Linked DNA regions of Arabidopsis thaliana. The protein of the gene in region 3 purifies or fractionates together with the protein of the main gene of each other region. This does not show direct contact. Each region holds a gene or a part of one and is shown on either strand. Other genes may lie near its edges. The genes, in order: GYRA, MOR1, AT1G62870 and AT3G28155.

Region 1 (8,035 bases), on a different chromosome or scaffold from region 3:
CACAAGTGAAGCATCTTCCGACTTCTCTTCCATATCTTTCCGCAGAGATGCAGGTATGATGTCCATGCTCGCTATCTTATCCTCATTCTTGAGTCTCATGGCAGTCACTCCCTTTGTATTTCTGCTCAGTGTGCGAACCTAAACAAACAAAAGCCATCAGAGTTTGCTCAAGTATTAAAAGGTTTACATGAAAGATGAATCATTTAGAAAAAATGAGAGCCACAACTTACACCATCACATGTACTCAAGGCGACCATTCCATTTTGGGATGCCATGGCTACAAGATCGTCGCTTGAGCAACAACGAACCCATTTCAGTTCATCACCAGAATTCTGAAGACAAATAATTTTGTTAGAGTAACCTTGTTAAGAAGACTTCCTATATGACTAAGAAGAAAAAGGGGACAAACCAACTGAATTGCTATGATTCCAGTTGAGCGTATTCCTGAAAATAATTTCAAAGATACTTTCTTGATGCAGCCATTCACTGTAAGCATCAGGAGGTAGCGATCTTCAGCAAACTCGCTAACAGGAACAATGGAGGTTACTCTTTCACCTTCCGACATGGATAATATCTGCTTCCACAAGTCACATGAACACAGCAAAACATTAGCCTTTCATAAAATTGAATAATTTTTGACATAGCAGAAGGAAAACATAGATACACAGATATGTAATTACCTGAACCAAAGGTGTACCAGCTGCATTGCGAGAGCATTCTGGAATTTTATATGCACGGGTTGAGTAAACTATACCCCGGTCACTGAATGTACAACAAGTATAAGCAATGAATTACAACAAGGCAGAAAATTAATATCCATGTGCGTAGCAAACACAAAGGAAATTTTGAGGTATACATACCTGAAAAAGAGGACATGGTCATGTGCATGACAAACAAGAAAGTCAGACATTGCATCATCAACTCTTAGTTTCCCAACAGATTTGCCAATTGTTCCACGATGCTGAAGATTGAATGTATCGGCCTTCATTCTCTTCACATAGCCCTTTTCGCTGACTGCCTATAGTCATCCATATCAAAAGTTACAAAACAAACAACAAAAATTTCAACGTTGAGAAACTTTCTAGGTTTAAGTATGCAACATACCATCAGCATCTCTTCATTTGGAATAACATCTATATCTTCTAGATCACCACTGTCAGAATCCTCCAACATTGAACGCCTGGGACTTGAGAATCTGTCCTTCAGCTCTATTGCTTCTTGTTCGATTAACTAAAGAAAAATACAAGAAAAACAACGAAGAGAATAAAGTAGTAAGTAATATACAATGAAGTAAACGAAGCAAATAGTTCAATTTTGGTCTACAAGAAAATCATCATGTATCAGTTATCTTCCTAACATTGGCCCAGAACAGCAACATATAGTAAGCAGCTTTACAGATATAAAAATAAGTACCAAACAAGAAATGGAAGAAGCATTTGAATCCTTATACCACATCATAATGCATGGACTAGATTTTGAACCTCAGTGGACTCAAACAGTCAAGCTTACAAATTTGGAGTACATATATTGATGCATCTATCATTCTACTAGCATCTAGGTGTTCTAAATTTCTAATATCAATAGCCAAAAGAACAGATAACTAAAAAGTGAGTGTGTCACCTTTAGGATGTTTGTTCGGGTTGATAATAGCTGCTCCAACTTTGTAATTTGCTCTGTTAGTGAACTACTTTCATCAGTAAACTTTTTCCGCTGCATTTATGAAGGGAGAATCTAGTTAGAACATTGTCAAGCCTACAAGTTTCATAAATTGAACTTAGCGAGAATAAGAAAGCACCTCAAGAGCAGTTAGCCTTCGAAGAGTTATCTCCAGTATAGCCTCAGCTTGTTTCTCAGAAAGACCATATTCTACATAAGTAAATGTTTGACAAGTGTTAATTTTAATATATGGTATCGTCCCTTACAATAGAGACTTACAAAGCATAAATCCCTAAGAAATCTTTGCAATTAAGATCAAATCTTACAACGAATGAGACTCCAGCAGTTCCAGATAAAAAGACAAGAAATATATAATGTTCAAATGTAATATGGAAGAGTTCACCACAAGATGTATTCTTTTAATAGTGTACATCCTAGACTACATCTATCAGTCCACCTAAGAAAAATTGGCTCTAGTCTACTTTTTGACTCCTAATTCTCGCTCACTTTTCCGAATTCTGTTTATACATCAACCTATAATGTGCAGTTCAAGATTGTTACATTGATTATATTGTCAAAGTAAAATATAGCTCACCACTTTGTAAAGCAGCAGTAGCAGAGGAATGACTTGAGGCCTTCGTGATGAGTTCGATTACTTCGTCCACATTGTCAAGCCCAACCACAATACCCTAAGCATATATACAGTGAAGATATTAGAAAAAATGCTTTACATCATTACATCATGGTCTTCACGAGCAGATTTAAGAAAGTTAAATATTTCTAGTCGCACCTCAATAATATGCTTTCGTTGTTGTGCATGTGAAAGCTTGAATCTTGCACGCCTTTCGACGACAGAACACCTGAAATCTATAAATGCCTACACACAAGCAAGAAACAGAAAGTAATCAACAAATTTACTTTAAAATGTGATTACAGTAGCACAGAAGTAAATATCCTATCTCTGATCTTCACTTTTCTATTACTCCTTGTGGGCTACGTAGATAAATGATTTACATAGACAAGTGGTCACCTGAAGTAGTTCTTTTAATCCCATTAGCTTGGGTTCTCCATCGCAGATACTGTAAAACACAGAATACCATAATCCAGTTACGATAAAGAAAAACGCATATGTGAATACATGATCCTTAATATATTTACAAGCATAACATACTCATTAGAGAATTTTCAACTAGTCATCCTGGAAAATGCCCAAGTTCTTTTATATGCCCACTCTTCAAAAAAGTACAGGAAATAAGAAGTTATCGGTTGATGCAACTCACCCCACCATGTTGCAGCTGAAGCTTGATTGAAGGGCAGTATGCCGGTAAAGATTATTAAGCACAAGTGCAGGATCCCCTCCTCTTTTGAGCTATAGAGAAGTATTGGAAATTATCTTAATTACCTTCCAATATGAAATTTTAAAGCAGACTAATACATCTAAGTGCAGAGGAAACAGTGTAATACCTCAATAACCACACGCATCCCATTACGATCACTCTCGTCACGTATGTCACTTATGCCCTCTAGCGTCTGAAAACAAACACCAACATCAATGAATAAAGAAGAAACTTTGCAAGCATATAAGGACATACTAGAAATGTAACACACCTCTGAGTAAAATAAGTACATATTGCTAAGTGAAGCAAAATAAACATTAGATGTCGCAAGTTTAGTTGTACCTTATTTTCAACAAGTTCGGCAATCTTCTGGACAAGTGTAGCTTTGTTTGTCTGGTAAGGAATCTGCAATAAAGTCACACTAAAGGCATTACTCTACTGCTAATAAACATTTTTGAAACCCTCATCCATGGAGATCTGAACATTAATCTAAAAAACTAAATTGATCACCTCTGTGATAATAACTGCATTCCGCTTTGTCTTTGGATCCAACAATTCAACTTCAGCTTTTCCTCTAACTACAACTCGCCCTCGGCCAGTTCGGTAAGCATCCAAAACCCTTGAAAGCGCAAACACACATTAGAAAATTATAAGAATCCAACATTGTAAAAGGAAATGGCATATGAATGCAAACTATTTTTTTAATAAAGGTATTCAACAAACTCGAGAGTAAATGTACTACACAACATATAAGCTTTCAGAATATTAAAAAATCACTCACACCATCAGAAAAAAACATGATGATTCAAAAACTGCATATGACAGACAAATAAAGGAAAACTATTAACTGGACCATCCTCTTCACTCATTTTCTAGGTTCCTTTTAAGATATAGGTACAGCTTCTGTAATCTGTTAGAATCATAGATCAAAACAAAACAAAATGCTTTTCTATTTCCATAAAAAAAAAGTTTCACACTTTAGAAGTGAGTCTTTCTATTTGATCCTATAGATAGCCTACTCTCAAAAAATTAGCAAACGAGGTGGGCAAACAAAAGTCATTAATGTATAAGATCCCTTTGGGGAGAAATTGGAAAGCAAAGAGTTACCCAAGGTTTCCCATTATTATTCCTCCAGTTGGAAAATCCGGTGCAGGCATGTATTCCAGCAGTTCTTGCAGCTGCCCAGACGAAGAAGAAAGTGGAAACAAAATCTTATGAGTTGTCTACTTATAAAACAGAGGATTTTTCATGTAAAACAAAAGACCCACAAATTGATAAATCACAGAAAAACAAAGGGGAGATGAGTGATACCGTTGCTTCTGGATTATGGATTAAAGCGCAAAGCACGTCTACCAACTCCCCAAGATTATGAGGGGGAATATTTGTTGCCATGCCAACCTAAACAATGTGAAATGATCAAGATTCAACTGCATATTCAATCTCATACAGCAGGGAAAATCTGCACAAGATTAACTGAAGAAATCTCGAACAAAATCTATTAAGGAGTTCAGATTTAAGATTTGTTTGATTATTTTACCGCAATCCCAGAAGCTCCATTCAACAACAAAGCAGGAAGACGAGCAGGCAACACTGCTGGTTCTTTTTGTGAGTTATCAAAATTGGCCACAAAATCCACCTGCCAAAACAAAAGAGGTTAAGGACCATCTAGTTGAGTATCGGTAAACTTGGCAACAAATTAATAGTGAGGTTACCGTATCTTGATCCAGATCAGACAATAGTACTGCCTCTGCCAGTGGCTGCAGAAAAAAAATAAGTACAATCAGCTGAAAACACTGACAAAAATACATGTTCATCTCAAGACAAGAGAAAAAGTAGAGATGAGAGATACACTATAGATAGCAAAGACAAGTGAAACAACTAGAAAAAGTGAATTGCAGGGAAAACCATTTCAACTAGAAGGGAAAGTAAGGTAAAAGGCACTCACATCGAGTCTGCATTCAGTGTAACGCATAGCAGCAGGAGGATCTGCATCTATTGAGCCAAAATTTCCATGGCCTTGGATAAGTGGACATCTCAAGGAGAAACTCTGCCAAAAAAACAAAGGTATTAAAACAAAAAAGTCAGAAGTTTGGGAAGAATCGAATCGTGCCTGAAACATTATTTGAGGACTGGACTACATTCCATGAATTCAGATATTTACCTGAGCCATCCTAACAAGAGAATCATAAACAGCAGTATCTCCATGCGGATGGAATTTACCAAGAACCTGAAAACCCAAAGAATTCAACAGCACAAATCGTTCTTCAGAATAAGATATTTAGAGAAATCGACTGAGAAAACACTTTCCAAAAATCAATAATATACCTCTCCAACAACTCTTGCACATTTCTTGTATGGTTTTTTAGATGACATCCCCAACTCATGCATTGCAAAGCTGGAAGACAAAATAATCGAACATTAGAAGGAACAATACCACTGACTAAGCTTAAAAATATCAGTAGCTTTGAGCCGAACGAAAGTCACTCAACAGAATTCTCCGATGTACTGGTTTTAGTCCGTCTCTAACATCAGGCAAAGCACGTCCAAGCAAAACAGAGAGCGCATACGACATATACGACTCAGTAGCTTCCTTATGTAGCTCAAAAGGCACAATACGAGATTCGTCCCCAGAAACAACCAAACCGCCATTGTTAGCTCCGGACTCTTCCTTGACCTGCTCATCTCCGCGCTTACCAGCACCGACAACGAATTTGCCGGACCGAGGAGTACGGGAGGAGAAGAAACGCGTGGCGGAGGGTTCAGTGCGGCGGAGACGGCATAATGGGTCGGTGAGGGGGAATCGGAAGAAGGAGCGGCGAAGAAGGGAGGAAGAGAGACGGAGAGTGGAGGAGAGAGACATGAGAGAGTTAGGGTTAGGGATTGAAGCAGTGGAATGGCATAATACTGGAGTCATGCCCAGAGGGTTTTAGGGATTTTTACAAGTACAAATGGATTAAAGTGCTAAAACCCTAGAGAGCCACACCGGAGAATTTCTCAGGCGCGAATTTCAATACTTTGGCGGGGGTCTTTGTGTCCAAACAAAAAACTAATCTGTATCTCTATTTGAGATATACACTATTTTATACAAACAAGATTATAATAACTAACTTTCGATTTCAATTTCTAATTTCATACTTGTATAGTGTCTTTGTTAGATCAATTACAGAACTAAATTCACCAATTGTTGAAAATTTAACAAATTTATGGAGAAATGTTAGTCACATTTTTGAAGTTTGCGATTCTTCTATCGACTCGAAAACGGTAGAGAATGATTTACATTATGTATTTGTAGCAAAAAAAATGTATCAAGCAATGATGAAACTCCGACCAAAGAGACCAGAGAATTTCTCAGACAGGATCAAAAAGAGATAAACAAGCAAAGAATCAATAAGCGTGAGAGATATAAGGGACAAAAAAATCGAGTTTAAGTGGGGAAGAAACCAAAAACTCCAGGATTGATCAGAGAAGAACACGAGCAGCGTCACCTGCTTCACAGATGAGAACAGGTTTTCCTCCATTTAGATTGTTAGCAAACTCGGGTTGGGCCTTTTCATATTCATCCTTCACATATGAAGCAGCTGCCTCAGCTTTTTCTGCATCTACAAAGGCTAGACAACATCCCCTGAAACCTGCACCGCTGAATCTAGCTCCATATACACCAGGAGCCTTCAGAAGAATCTTGTATAGCTGGATCAGTGGCTCCGCACCTTCACAAAACTCACAGAATTTAAAACCAAAATAATGAATCTAAGAGAGAATAATGTCTGTAAGCATACTAGTGGTCTGTATTCACTATAGGATATGTTGCATTTGGGAGAGAAGAAAAGAGAGTGTAATGTACCGCATTCGTAATTCTCAATGGAACTCAAGCCGGATGCTGAAATTAGCTTTCCAAATTCTTCAAGATTCCCTGAAGCCCAGGCTTCCCGTCCTGAAATTTAAGAACAAACATTCATAAAAGTCCGTTAAGCATCATAAAGAGCTTAATGAATCATTCATGCACATAAAGAGACATCTACAAGAATTCAAGAACATTTGCCTTTGATAACTCGCATGTTCTCCGAGAAATAATGCTCTGCTCTTTTAGCTAAAACCGGTTTCAGCTCATGCTGCACGAACAAGTATTATTGTATTACATATTTACATAGGCCTGATATAGGTGGAACCTGTTTTACCAAAAGCTTAAGAATCTTATTTTCTTACCTTGTGAGCTTCATAGACCGCATGCTCAACTATTCAGTGGGACAGTTAGAGACATGGCAACAAAGAAAAACTAATCAGCATGCAACGAATAAGTTAAAGTCCACACTTAAAGTTTTTTTACCATTGCACAACGTAGGTTCCAGCTCACTGTTCCCAGATGCACTGAAAAGAAAAAGTAAATCAAGAGAAGGGTGTGAATCTTGTGATGCAGAAAAATGAGTATCACAAGCAATAGAGAAATAAACTTTGCAGCATTTCCACTGAAATTTAAATCTAAATAAGCGAAAATGTAGATAAATATGAATCAAACAGATTTGCACATACGTCAAAAGAACTTTTGCTGCCTCTTGACACTCAGAAACTCGCAGATTATATCCTGGGTTGGTGGTCAACGCCTGCCTCAAGCCTGAGAATGCTAACAATATCCTGAACGGTTTCTCCAGTTCAGGAGCCTGTACAAGCTCGTGGTCCAAAGTCTGCATATTTCAAACAGTTTTTCTGAGATGGCAGTTTCTGGAAGAAAATAAAGTTTCCCTATCTATGGCTGGTTAGGAAGGATTTCTTCAAGGCCTCCTGATTCTAACCATTCATTTTCATTTTAGGAAGAAGTGAACTCAGCATTGAAATACATTAAAATCGAAGCAATTGAAAAGATTAAACACTTATTTTCTCGTGAAAGCAATGAGAATGTTGTAGATCTGATTTGATCGTGAGTCATTTTCAGTTTAGAGATCAAAAACATCTTAGGCATCCCATTGAACAGTCTTGGTTTTGCCACATGAACAAGCTTCTTGCTTTTTTGCACACTATATCACTTACAAATCAAGGAATTTTACCTT
Region 2 (4,758 bases), on a different chromosome or scaffold from region 3:
CCACATGCAATCAACATGAGAAGTAAGTGGTATAGTATAAAAAAGTTCTTTCAGTGAAAGACAACCACAAGAAATAAAACATAGTAAAATGTGCATTAAGCATCAAAACTCACCACTCCGTCCCAGAACCCAGACTTCTCCAAAGGTGTCAAAATGTCCACAGGATCCATAAGATCATACTCATCTATTTCTTGAGGCGCTGATAGTACGGGTAGATAAAAGAAAAAACAATGTAAGCAGACTTCTCATTATTACTTGATGAAGAACAATTCATTGAGGTACAAGCTACTTACCGTCAGCAACAGCTTCTTCACTGGGCCCATCACCCACAACATCAGAACTAGCTTCTGCCTCTGGTTCCTTGTCTTGCTCAGATCTTGAAAGCCAAATACAGAAATAATCTCATTGCAGCTTTACTTTTTCAACTTTAAAATTCACACAGGCTAGAAAAAGGTCTTGAAACCAAAAAGAAATACTCATGCATATCAATTCAATTATTCAGAAATTTGACAGAGGCACATTGAGTATTCACAAAGCATAGGCTGAATTACGGTGAAACTGGATCTGGTTTTACCTTACCAATAAATGTCAAAATATATTAGATGTATGTGCCAATGAATAATTAGGAAAATTAAACAATTATTATCGTATGTGGTAGTAACCTTATCTTTCGAGTAGGCTTGGCACCCGCTGTAACATTGGCAAGCTCAGCCTCCAGCTCTTTTTTCTTACATAGTAACAATGAAACGGAATATTAGGGTTTGCAACAAAGCACAAGAGAATAAATAAAAATTCAAGTGTAACTTCTTCCACTGATTAAAGAAAAACGCAAATCATGGGCAGAATTTACAGGTAAGGTGTGGTTCTTATCCGCAATGGGATCTATCATCTATCTATCTGTTATGACTAGAAACCCCTGTTTCAGTTTTCCAATTCCAAGAAAAATCAAGAGGATTTAATCCAGTTCATATCAACTTGGCAGCATAGCTAAGTTGCAAATGTGCGGCTCAACATAAATCTTACCATCGTATCCCTCATTTTTTCAAACAATATAGACTTTACAGGGTCTTTTCCAATCCAACGGCATAGCTCAAGAGTCACTCCTTTGGCAGATGCACGGACATTCTGATCTTGATGGTCGAAAAGTTCAGGAAGCATCTTTAAAATCCTTTTAGGTGGAATAACTTTTGATCCAAATTCACTAAGGTAGAAATAAAGTAGCGTCGATATTTCAGATAAAAGATTTCATGAACCAATGGAGAAAACTAACAAGGAGTTGAAAACAGACCTTAGAGCTTGAAACATAACGTCTACTGCAGGTACCACAGCCTTTGCAACTTTATTCTTTATAGCTTTCTCCATCGTATCCTACAATCATGCCAAATCTGTTAGCATGTATAAAAACGATGTTATCCTATAAACTATACAACTCCCAGTCTCCCAATATATATCTTGTTGGCAGTTGAAAATTGAAATGACTGAAACAATGCATATCAAGTAGAGTTATTGCAACTTTATACTTGGGAAGTGAATTAAAACTTCTGAAGGAAATGATGTTTTGAACAAAACACTATGGTAGATATCTTGAAAACAACAATAAAGAAGGTATCTAGATTCCTTTCTCCTTCAGAAATAAGTATTATTCATAGCAGAAGTCCAACAGCTTGAGACACGGTGACAACAACTCAAAACTGGAAATGTTGGTTACTGAAGAGGGTGATTATAGGAACAGACCCCAGAAAGTTGATTCTGTTTCTTGACCTTGAACACAGGATGCTCAGGACATCTGTCAGTCATCGTTATTTAAATTGCTCTTTTCCTATGCCACACTAGATACCTAGCATAACACAGAACTGGACAAAGAGCCACAATGCTATATTCTACGTCACTCCTTCTAAGATCAGTATATGGTTGAATTCTGGGTTATAAAGCACTTTCATTTCTATGTCAGCTCACCTATCTAGTTTCAGATACCAGTATCAGCAATCTAGCAAGTAACTCTATGGCTAGATGGTGAACCTATACATCAGAGTGCAAGGGTTAACCGTATGTGTCTAGATAACCCTAGCAGTGTTGCAAAAACATAGAATGAATGACATACCAGAAAAACATCGACGGCCTCTAATTCTACCCAAAGCAAGAAAGCAGCCTGCGCCTTGTCCACAGTATTCTTCCGACCCGTAAGGCATTTGAGCGCAATAGCATCGCAAACTTCCTTTGCATACCTTCAAAAGCAGAAACAAACTAATTATTCACATGCAAACGAACACTCCACTCTGCCCATTTCTAAAGCAATAAAAATAAACAACACCATACCTTCCAGCATCTGAATCGGCTGCTCGCAAAAACGCAATCAATGCATCAAGCGCTTTCTCTTGCACCGGCGCATTAGAATCTGCCACCGTCTTCCTAAACAAGTGACCTGCGAATAAAAAATAATAATCAGAAATTCAATCAAAAGTAAAGCAAAATGGAACCCTAGACCAATCACATTCCCACTCAACAATCCAAATTCAAAACAGATCCACACCGATATAAACCACCCTAATCAGATCTGAGCTTCAAAAACAAAAACCCTAACATAATAATAATAAAAAAACGAGGTAGAGAAACTCACCAAAATCGCGAAGACGAGGGTCCTTAGGATCAGTAATCGAATCAAAAACAGAAGCTAAATCGACGTTAGCTTCGTTCCTAACTTTCCAATTCTTATGCCCAAGCCGATCCTCCCAAGGAAGTTTTTTCGCCTCCTTCAATAACTTCTCATCCTCCGTCGACATTACTCCACGAAATTATCTCTCCGACGGTATCGATCTTATCGATCTATACCAAGTTTTTTTTTTCTTCGTACGGTCTCTTGGAAACTTTCTCTCTCTTTTCAAAAAAATTTCTTCGTGTTGTTAGTGCCGGCAAGAGAGAGAGAGAGAAGGACAAAAAAGAAGAGTAGGGTGGAGCGTAATGAGAGAGAGAGAGTGGGGGAATTTTGGTTTCTACGTTTAAATCGGTGGTGTAATTTTTTTGTTAAAAACCCTTCACGCGCGTTTTGATTGGAAATGTTTACACGCGCGATTATTTCAAATCTTAAAACGAGCGTTTTTCTTTTGCTTTCTCCACGTGGAGAGATCGGCATTTTCAAACTATTTTAGGAAATGATTAACAGTACTGAATTTTCCTATTGTTGGTTCTGTAAATATTTTCAAAATATATTTACATTAACAATCTATTAATTTCTAAGAAAATAAAGTAATATTTTGAAATGAATAACTCATTTTTAGTTATAAAAATATTTATTTTAAAAAATCAACAAAATCATGAGTTATTATTACTTACTTATTGGATTATCTTTTCTTCTATAAAATACAAATAAATAGTCATTTTCTATAAAACTAGACACGTAAACCAAAATGGATTTATTAGTTTGATTATGGAAGTTCAAAAACATTGTGTATTTTATGATTTAAAAACTAGTTAAAATTTATTATTTTAATATCCTAAATATTTATGCTAGGATCTGATTTCGCTTTGGATTTTAATATATTTGAAATATCTAATTCAAATTCAGAATACAAATACTCAAATTTCAAACAAACTTTGATTGATAATTAGTACAAGAATATTTAAGCCACACCACACCTTACACCTTTTCCATCTCCATCCTCATGTCTTAGGTGATGTAACTCTCTATCTCCAGATATCTTTTCTTGTCTACTGCTAACACATGAAACAACAACTCAAATTTAAGCCATATTTTTACAATGGTACCAAATTTATAAGAATCATAGATGAAATTACCAAAACAAGAAGTTACGTGGAAAGATTGAATCCAATATTAATATTTTGATTTCTATTATAAAAGCAAATGAAATAATGATTATCAGTCCATTGTTTGTTCCATTTTTAAGTACACTTGTTTGTTTGATTTAGGTGAATAAGATCCGCTAAAGCTGAAAATACAAGAATTGTCCCTAAAGATAGTAAAGTACAGTACGCTTCCAAATAAATAACAATGGGCTTTAGTAGGCCCACGCAATAACGATGTTTTAACTGACCCAACAAGCCCTTGTCCAGTTCTGGCATTATACAATGCGTCGGTCGACACGTGTAATAAGTCATGATCGGCACGTGTGGTCTCCACTTCTCCTCTCTCATTGGTCGTAAACTCGTAACTAGCCGATTCCTTCTCCAAAGTATCTCACATTTCCACTGCACACTCTACTTTCTCTCTCTTCACTCTCTCATAAATCACAACAACAACAAAAAAAAAAAAGTTGTTAGTTAAGACATTGCTTTACAGCTCAATTGCGTCTTCTTCCTCTGTCTTATTCTTCATCTTCATCTTCCTCCTCGCGGATCCATTTTGAGGTTCGTGTAAATTCCCATTCTCTTTCGCCATTTTTTTGGGGGAAGTGAGATTTTGGTCTGAGTTATCGGCGAATCGATTTCGTTTTTTTAGATTATTGAATGGTTTTGTTGACTCTTCAGTTCTTCTTGTGCTGTGATTGCAATGATGTCCTCCGAATTTCGTGATTTAAGTTCGATTTTAGCTATCCGAGCTCCTCTTTAAATAATGAGTTGGGGTTTTATTCTGAAGGTTCGATTTCTGATTTTGCAAATTTGGGAGGTGGATTTGATCCGATTAGATAATCTCACTGTTCTGGGTGCTGTAATTGTTAATGAGACCATGCAAATGTTGTGCATCGATGTTGTGGAACGCTTGATTTGTAATTGAGGATTTGGTTGTCTGATTATTGGAAGATC
Region 3 (5,112 bases):
TCCTAGTGGGGGATCCACATTTTTTGAGAAAAGATTTTAAAGAAACTACTCGATAGATTGATAAGTTAGATAGATAGATAATCGTAATCATAGTTGAAGTGAACCCGAAAACCCGGTTCAGTTCTTAGGTGACAAAAAGGTCTACATCTTTCGTCGTCGACATCAATAGAGACTAACATGTTATGATGAAGCAAGAACGTGAAAAATGTTCAAAAATAAAATGTTTTATTAAGTCAATTTCTTGAAATGGAAAAGACATTGTTTTGAGTCATGATTAAGAATATTAACGTTAATGAAAAAAGAACAAAAGAACAACAGAACAAAAGAGATCATTACAATGTACAATACAGAAGATGAATGAAGCTGTCGTTGAATCTTCTGTTGATGCCATTAATGTTCTTAACTACAACCTTGGACCTTTTGAACCAATAGATTGATGATGATCACGACGAGAGGTCGATTCACATTAGATTTCATTGCTACGCAAACCAAATGTGTGCAGAAACATGAAACTTCTAATGGTAATATGATATAGACAAGAACTTTACAAGAGTCGCTTGTATGCAAGAATTTCAAAATCAGTCTCAAGATCATTGCTTAAGTTCGAAAAAAGACACGGAAAAATTGCCTAAAATTATGATCAAAATAGACTAAAAGAAATACAATGATATGGCTCTCTTTCTCACCTCCTAAAGGAGCCAAGTACAAATTGAATTAAGGGTAGTAAAAAAAAAAGTTAACAACAAAAAAAATGAATTCAAGCAATCCTACAAAATGGCCAAGTTCTAGTGAAAAACTAAATTTGGTAAAAATTAACAAGTCACACTGAGGATGTATCGATGAGAACATCGTTTAGCACATCATCTTCGCCATTCGCCATAGCGAGCAGCTCCGCATCTCTCTCTTCCTCGTTGGAGAAGTCTCTCCTTTCGAATTTCGAGTTAGCGGATATAAAGATCAACTTTTGAGCTCGATCCACGGCTGCGCGTGATCTTCCATTCGAATTTACCCATCTCAAAACAGAGGAATTGCATTTGAAACCACAAGAAGTTGCATGGAGAAAAATAAGCCTAACTGCAACTCTCCCCAATGACCTGAACTCACTAAGATAAGTTTCCCAAACAAGTCTACTACTTTGTGGATTAGCTATCCTCATTTTCCCCGAAACAGGATCTCTCTCCTTCATTTGAACCGCCCTTGCGTAAACCGGATCAAGCCCTTCTGTTCTCCATTTCATCAGCTCCATCATCGCGATATGTGCCTCGTCTCTAGACACAAGCCTTGTTATTAACTTATCAACATCTTTCTCTTGCTCCGGGGACAAGCATTTGAATGGAGGAAGATATTTTCCGCTACTGTCTTTTATCAAGTAAAGCGGATCAAGTATAAACGCCGCAGCCCAAGCTGGGTGATAACTCTTCTTGAATCTTCTCTCAACGATCTTCTCTACTTGCCTCTCTTCAACAACATTGAACTTTGCATACCAATCTTTTATCTTGGACCTTAGCTCATCCCATAGCGGTAAACATTGCCCTACCAAAGGCCTCTCTTCCTCTATTCTCCGAGCCATTTCTTTAACAAGCTTCAACAACAAATAAACCGCCTCTACCTCGTTCCAAAACCCGACATCTCCAACCATTTCACCAACCTCTCTAGCCATATGATCCTCCATTAGAACAGCCTTACACACATCATCATGCATCACCAGCTGAATCGCTCTAGCGAAACTAAGCACATCCTCAAGGAGATTATACAATGGCTCAAACAAAGAACTATCCAAAGGCAAATGCAGCATCCTAGTCTCTCCTTGCTCTTGCAACTGATACTTACAAACCGCGTTTCGGATCTGTGCCGTGCTGTTCACGAAATTAACGAGCCTCGAGCAGCTTTGAGAGACGGATTTAAACAAAGGAAGCTCTTTTACAAAATCTCGAATCAAACTGTTGAAACCTTGAAACTGACAAGAGAGATTCACCATCCATTGATGCTGGCTCTCAAGATTCCTCAATGCCTTACTCATAAACCTATCTGAAACAATCCCAACACACCTCTGAGGTGAATTACCACAAATACCCCTCACCGTCTCCCACAAAACCTCCTCTGCGTAATTAGACGGCACAGCTCCGTTCACAAACACAGCTCGTCTATACAAACTCGTCCCATTAGGCAAATTCACAATCAAATTCACCAAATTCTCGCCGGAGCTGTCGAATTTCCATCCATCAGAAGCAATCTGAAAGAACATTGCGTCGTGGATTCTCGATTCAGCCTCTGCTCTCGAATCTTCATACTTCAAATCCAATCTTCCGGTGACAAAATCTCTCCTTGAGATGATCGGTAAACCAACTTGCGTCAAAAAAGCTCTCAACTTTGGATGCTCGAGACCAGATAAAGAAACAGAGCCACAAGATTCAAAAACCCAATCAGAGAGAGAATCTAACGCAGAATCTATCTGAGCTTTAGTTAGATTCCGCGTCTGAGAAGTTTTAGGACTCTTGAGCTTCTTCACACTATCTTCAAGCATAGCTAATGGACCCAAATCGTCTTTTCCACCGGAAAGCATCAAATGCGGCTGCTGTGTAACCGGAAACTGCCCACAGAATCTCGAGGGATCAACGACACTAAGAGGCGTCACATTATAAGACCCTTGATGATGATGATGAGGATGATGATGATGATGATTCAGAGCTTCCACGGCGGAGGAATTACGTTTCCGGTGAGAAGAAGACGGAGGAGGAGGAGGAGAAGGAGAGATTGTGGAGATGGGTTTAGGTAAAGAGTTGAAATTTGGACAAGTTCCACGTTTAAGATGCTCAGAAGCAGTTCGGGAAGGATTAGAAGCTGAGAAAACGGCGTCGCATAAAGAACATCGGAGTTTAACGGCTTTAGGGAAACCAGTGTCGGTGTTGTGTAGTAAGATTGGTTCAAGGTGACTCCAATACCACGCGCCTTTGCCTTTAACTGCTTTTGTTCTTACCATCATTAATCCTTCGTAACGCTTTTGTAACGCCTTTGTCGCTAATTCTTCCGCCGACGGTTGTTGCGTTGGTGATTGCGTTTGCGTTTGCTGTTGTGTCGCCGTTGTTGTTGCGTTTGTCGTCGTCGCCATTGTAAAGTCAAAAAACTTAAACAACAACCCTGAACGAAATTAAGCTGAGACTAGTGGATTTTGATGAAATTGAAGAGAAAATTTCGCCGGCGGTCGGAGATAACTCCGGCGGTTCCTCATAACAGAGAACAGAAATAGAAATAAATAAACTTTGTCTCTGTTTTTGCTTCACCTCTGAAAAAAAAAAAAAACTTTGTTCCTCTCTGCTCTGCTATCACACTGATAGTTTCTTTCGATTCTATTTTTTAAGAGACTGAGAAATTTCAAAAAGGAGAAGAAGAAGAAAGAAAGAGACAGTAGAGAGAGACAGAGAGAGGAAGGAGAAGAAAATAAGGGAGACAAAAGTGAATCTCACGCGCATAAGGTAAGCGCGTGTTTGTAACATTGAATGAAACGTTTGATAGGAACAAGGTGAGACCAGAGTCCCACGTCGTACGAGAACGGAAACAAAGCATTGGTTGTTTTAGTCTCTCACTTCACTCTCATTGGCACGTGATTCTCACGCTCTCCATAAAGGTATTTTTAATACTATATATTATTGGTTTTATACCTTTTTAATAAAAATAAATATCACTTTTTCAGTTTTTTTTAAAAAAATATTTTTGGATGTGTCTTGTTTTCATATTTTTCTGTTTTTTTTGAGTGAATTGTTGGGTTCTTGTGTGGAAGAGGTCTTCGTCTGTTTCCTCTTTTTCTAATTTATATGATTATAAAATATTGATCTACTATTGTATAGTATCAACTATTCCACGTAATCAAATTTGGTATATGATTCGTGTTATGAACTAACCCACCAATATAAATACTATTAACAGGGTAAATCATTCAATGACATAAGCAAAGCAGCTCACAAATTTAGTACTAAATCATTAAATGATTCTTTTAAAAGTAGATAATTGTGTGAAAGTGTTAGTAAATGAGTGAGTGAAAGACATGTTTTTTATTAATTTAATGTTTTTACTTTTTTTTTGGGTATAATTATGATTGTAAAAGAAGGAAAAATACAAAAAAATGATGAGTGGGGTTTCCATTTGTGTCTTGTTGTCTATGTGGGATATATTCAGAATGTGGGCATAAAAGGGCAACCTAGGAATTTAATTTGTTTCTTTAGGGACTGTGTCTCTCTGTGTGTGTGAGAGAGAGTTGTTGACCAAAAGGACATTCTTTAGTAAATACTTATTTATTATTTTCAGAATCCAGTAAAAAATATATTTATTGACTGTGACAAAAAAAATATTTTTGAATATAATTGGTTCAGTAATAAAGACATTTACTCACCATTACAATTTGTTTCTACTTGAAGTAGTATAATGCATGTTACATAGTATAATAGAAACTCTACTTTCATTTTTTTTGAAAAAACTATTAACTGGAAAATAAACTATTTTTTCTCAAGAAAAATTATAATTTTTTTTTGAAAGTTTACTACGAGTAATATTATTGCTAGTATTTTATTCCTGATAAAAAAAAATTCAATACAAAAATCAATATGTTTCAAACCACTATTATCATATTTCTTGTAAGAATGAAAACAAAATTTCCTGATTGTCATCCTGAGTTTTTGTATCAGTGACAAATAGTGACAATTTTTGTAATTTTTAGAATTCGTGAACATTTTTTTCTTTAATATAATTGACAAATGTTGTTGACAACAAAAATGGATAAATATAACATAATAAACCAACGTTTTTTTCCGTAATGTTTGTTTTGGACACTACATATGTTTAATCTGAGTTGTTTAATCTATTAGCATTATGGAATTGCATTGTTTGTCGTAGATGTGTTATTTTGATATTTTAGTAAATTCTCTTTAAATTTCTTACTTTTTCTACTGAAATAGTTGACTTTTACCCTATCCCTTTTTTACAACGACATATACTCTCTTTTCTTAACTGTCTTGTGTGGTATTCATGAGTCTTATGGTTGTTACAACACTCATCTCATGTTTTTCTTTAGTTGTTCTTTTTACTTATACCATTTTTTGTTAAGTTATTTACTTAGAT
Region 4 (3,454 bases), on a different chromosome or scaffold from region 3:
AAGTGGGTGAGAATTTCTGTTTTTAGTAAAAAGGTTTGGTTTAAATCTGGTTTTTCAAAAAGTAGTAACTAGAAATAGAATCTCGAAACTCATGCGAGGGAAAGTTTTTTTAGCTTTCTTTCTCCTCTTCCTATATTTTCTATTCCCTCATATCGGGGAACAATTTCTATGAATTGTTATTGACATTAAATTATAGTAAATTAGAGAGAAAGTATTTGTTCGTTTTTGTCGATTATATCCATGAGAACTCTTGTTTCAGGTGATTGTGTTTGTCGATTTTTTTTGTTGTGTTTCGTGGCATGTGAAGTTTTTGTTTGAAGTGTGGAGTTTTTGTCGATTTGTTTTGTTGTGTTTCGTGGCATGTGAAGTTTTATAGTTTGAGTGTAGAGTTTTAGTTTTGTTTGATTATTTTTTGTTGTGTATTTGTGATTGTGAAGTTTTTTTATCTGTCGTGTTTGTGTATTTGGTGCGAGTATTTTTGTCTTGAGAAGAGAGACATGGAGATTTTACCTGCCTCTTCATTTGTTCTGGACTACGGGATTTGCCTTGACGACTTTGGTAACCAAAAGACCTGTACACATGCATGAAGCAAGAGAAATATCAAATAAGAGACTAAAAAACAGAGAAAATTATTTGACCCTTTATGTAAAAGAAACATGAGGAACAACTTACCTTAATATGAAGTATCTAAGAAACTGTTTGGCTCTCCCAAGTCTTCGAGAATACGATTCCATACTTAATTTGATATCTTGCCCCTTAAGTGTTGTAGCTCTGCAATAAGGAATGCCAATATTTTTTTTTTAACTTACAAATTGAATACAAAAGAAAATATGTGAAGAGACGGATGAAACTAACTGATCTTGCTTCAAGGTACCACTAGAAGTAGATTATGGAATATTTGAAACACCTTTTGATACTGGCCCCGCCGAAGCTTTTGATGATTCAAGTCGTTAGTAGAGAGGAGAGAACATGTTAATCAGACAACCAGATCATGAAGATTGGAGAGGTACCTTGAACAAATCCTGGTCTTGCTTTTTCAAGCACAAGAGCTAGTGATGAGCCTTTTATATCTTTGATATTCATTTCCATCTGAGAAAAATGCATACGACTAATCCGATATTAGGTTCAAGCCACGAATAGAACAAGCTAACCCAAGGATACCTACCGTGTCTTGTCCACTGACTCTCCAGATCTCGGAAAGGCATCCTTCCACTATTTTTCGCAGATCTTCTGGTTGGTCCTGGAAATATCAGTAGAAACATAACAGAGTAATAATTATTACAAACAGACTTATTTAGTGATTCAAGATAATGAGGCGGTATAAATATTTTAGATCAGTCACAGACTCACCATCACTGCGGTTACTTGCAGGTTTCAGTAAATGTGTAGCATCCACAAAGTCACTTAATCCAGCAACCTGTTTTGTCAAGCAATCAAAAAGATCTATAAAAACCACTTTTAGTGGTATTAGAATCTGCATTAACAGGATACAAAAGACTTGTTTAAAGAAGTTCACCAACCATTTTATCAACAACAGCCAAGGTAAATTCTCTCATGTGCTTTATGTTGTTAGTGAGGCATTTCAGAACATCAGACAAAATTCCCTAAACTAGATCATTCAAGTATTTGGTAAAAATGGCAGGCATTGATATTTTACAATGTAAAAGTATTTTCAACGCTTGACATGTATCCCTAACCTTGCTCGCCTTCTTGACAGCTGGTCCCATGGCTGCTGCAACACCTCCAATGGTAGTCAATGTTTGCATCACAAGACTAAAAGTTGTCCCCGTGGACCACCGAATAATTCTACTACTGAACATGATACGAACGGTACATATAACAATTATAAGGATTCATGACTAATTATGTAATGAAAAAAAAAACTTAAATAACAGAGAATTATAGAAAAATTCCTGAGTTCATACCAGTTCCATTTGGTTGGATACGTTTATTAGCCCCTTCCAGAATTTTATTACAGCTTCAATTGGATCCAAACGTATCTACAAAAATTTAAAACACTCAGTTTCAACTCTACAGCTTAGAATAATTTTTTCACAAAAGAATTGTTAGCAACAAAAAAAGATTTCAAAATCAGGAATCTCAAAGCCTTTTTACCGACGTCTATCTAACTCTCTTCGGTGCCGCAGTCCCCTGATGAACAACAGACAAGTAAAAACAAGAAATCTAAAAGACCATCCACAAAAATGAACCAAACAAACACATGTTAGGCAAAGCAGAAGTAGCTTAAAAGGAATTCGTAAGTTTCAAAAGTGAGACACCAAAGTCATCAACTGCCGAAACAATCCAGAATAAGCCTTCACTATGAACCTTGGGATTGTTGTGCTCTTTCATGATTCTGCAAAGCTACAAACAAAAGTCATGAATCATCATTGTGATCAGATTAAAATGAAAGTCGATAGAAAATTTACCGAACCAGCACAAACCCTTTCGATCAGCTGCTTCACAAAAAGAAGTAGGCCACTTCATTGTAGAGGCTCATATCTTTATATCTGAAACTGAGCCAAGAAAGAATTTTGTAAGAAAAAGATAAAACTGACGTCTAAATACAGCATTCAGTTTCTAAAAGTTACTTTTTCTTCTTCTATTACTAACCTGTAATGCAAAGTATGACACATTTCTTTTGCCGCAGTTGAAGATATGAGTGATGATTTGCAGAACCTGCTTTTCCAAGTAATATTCTCAGGGAATAATTCGATAATTACATATAAGAAGATTTTAAATGGAGTAACAAGCATACCTCACATTTTTTCTCATTTTAACCTGGAGCTGCACCTGCACACAACAACCGACCAAGATTTCCTCTGACTTGTCTAGTTCTTCTAGAACTTCTATCTCTTCTTTCAAAGTCAAAGTTGATGCACGGCAATATAATATAATGCAAAATCATCAAACTCAGTAATAATTAACAAAAAAAAAGAGCTAAAAAAGAGCTTCAGTGGCATGTTGTCAAGATGCACAGCCCCACGACAAAAATTAGCAGCCAAGGTACATTCTCTCACGTGCTTCTTGTTGTCACTTATCACCGAGAGACGTTTCAGAGAAATTATGAATGTGCAAGCGAAGCAAGTATGTAGTATGTATGAATGTATGTATGTGTGGATGCATCATGCATTATGCATGAATGTGCTAAAAAAGAGCTTCAGTGGCATGTGCTAATGAGGCTTTGATATGAATACAATGCAACATGGAACATAGCATGGATATCAAATGCAGTAACAGAATAAAAAATACTATAATTCAGTGGCATGTTGTCAAGATGCACAGCCCCACGACAAAAATTAGCAGCCAAGGTACATTCTCTCACGTGCTTCTTGTTGTCACTTATCACCGAGAGACGTTTCAGAGAAATTATGAATGTGCAAGCGAAGCAAGTATGTAGTATGTATGAATGTATGTATGTGTGGATGCATCATGCATTATGCATGAATGTGCT

What was found.
Region 1: the proteins of AT1G62870 (region 3) and GYRA fractionate together in Arabidopsis thaliana (co-fractionation; one large-scale study listed by BioGRID). This does not show direct contact.
Region 2: the proteins of AT1G62870 (region 3) and MOR1 fractionate together in Arabidopsis thaliana (co-fractionation; one large-scale study listed by BioGRID). This does not show direct contact.
Region 4: the proteins of AT1G62870 (region 3) and AT3G28155 fractionate together in Arabidopsis thaliana (co-fractionation; one large-scale study listed by BioGRID). This does not show direct contact.

Annotation. Positions count from the first base shown.
Region 1 is NC_003074.8:3,340,337-3,348,371, forward strand, and holds the start of GYRA (DNA GYRASE A), read right to left. Parts: upstream 6,025-8,035; 5' UTR 5,908-6,024; coding exon 5,483-5,907; intron 5,389-5,482; coding exon 5,319-5,388; intron 5,221-5,318; coding exon 5,155-5,220; intron 5,041-5,154; coding exon 4,939-5,040; intron 4,751-4,938; coding exon 4,706-4,750; intron 4,630-4,705; coding exon 4,531-4,629; intron 4,392-4,530; coding exon 4,305-4,391; intron 4,172-4,304; coding exon 4,101-4,171; intron 3,613-4,100; coding exon 3,504-3,612; intron 3,399-3,503; coding exon 3,336-3,398; intron 3,187-3,335; coding exon 3,121-3,186; intron 3,026-3,120; coding exon 2,937-3,025; intron 2,736-2,936; coding exon 2,687-2,735; intron 2,534-2,686; coding exon 2,447-2,533; intron 2,346-2,446; coding exon 2,252-2,345; intron 1,867-2,251; coding exon 1,796-1,866; intron 1,711-1,795; coding exon 1,621-1,710; intron 1,231-1,620; coding exon 1,105-1,230; intron 1,019-1,104; coding exon 861-1,018; intron 763-860; and 8 more. Other genes in the region: GalAK (galacturonic acid kinase), read right to left, coding at 6,453-6,700, 6,835-6,924, 7,033-7,102, 7,197-7,225, 7,318-7,358, 7,521-7,672, 8,033-8,035. UniProt on the Arabidopsis thaliana protein: A type II topoisomerase that negatively supercoils closed circular double-stranded DNA in an ATP-dependent manner.
Region 2 is NC_003071.7:14,964,850-14,969,607, reverse strand, and holds the start of MOR1 (ARM repeat superfamily protein), read right to left. Parts: upstream 3,035-4,758; 5' UTR 2,781-3,034; coding exon 2,618-2,780; intron 2,423-2,617; coding exon 2,317-2,422; intron 2,226-2,316; coding exon 2,102-2,225; exon of another isoform or gene 1,798-2,101; coding exon of another isoform or gene 1,735-1,797; intron 1,369-1,734; coding exon 1,289-1,368; intron 1,202-1,288; coding exon 1,024-1,201; intron 728-1,023; coding exon 663-727; intron 377-662; coding exon 294-376; intron 200-293; coding exon 114-199; intron 1-113. UniProt on the Arabidopsis thaliana protein: Microtubule-binding protein that is essential for cortical microtubules organization and function. Essential for maintaining the interphase cortical array and for correct morphogenesis.
Region 3 is NC_003070.9:23,283,400-23,288,511, forward strand, and holds AT1G62870 (uncharacterized protein), read right to left. Parts: upstream 3,399-5,112; 5' UTR 3,110-3,398; coding exon 821-3,109; 3' UTR 513-820; downstream 1-512.
Region 4 is NC_003074.8:10,484,265-10,487,718, forward strand, and holds AT3G28155 (uncharacterized protein), read right to left. Parts: upstream 1,728-3,454; coding exon 1,698-1,727; intron 1,605-1,697; coding exon 1,521-1,604; intron 1,418-1,520; coding exon 1,351-1,417; intron 1,241-1,350; coding exon 1,166-1,240; intron 1,090-1,165; coding exon 1,037-1,089; 3' UTR 1,011-1,036; intron 932-1,010; 3' UTR 875-931; intron 772-874; 3' UTR 673-771; intron 669-672; exon of another isoform or gene 572-668; 3' UTR 517-571; downstream 1-516.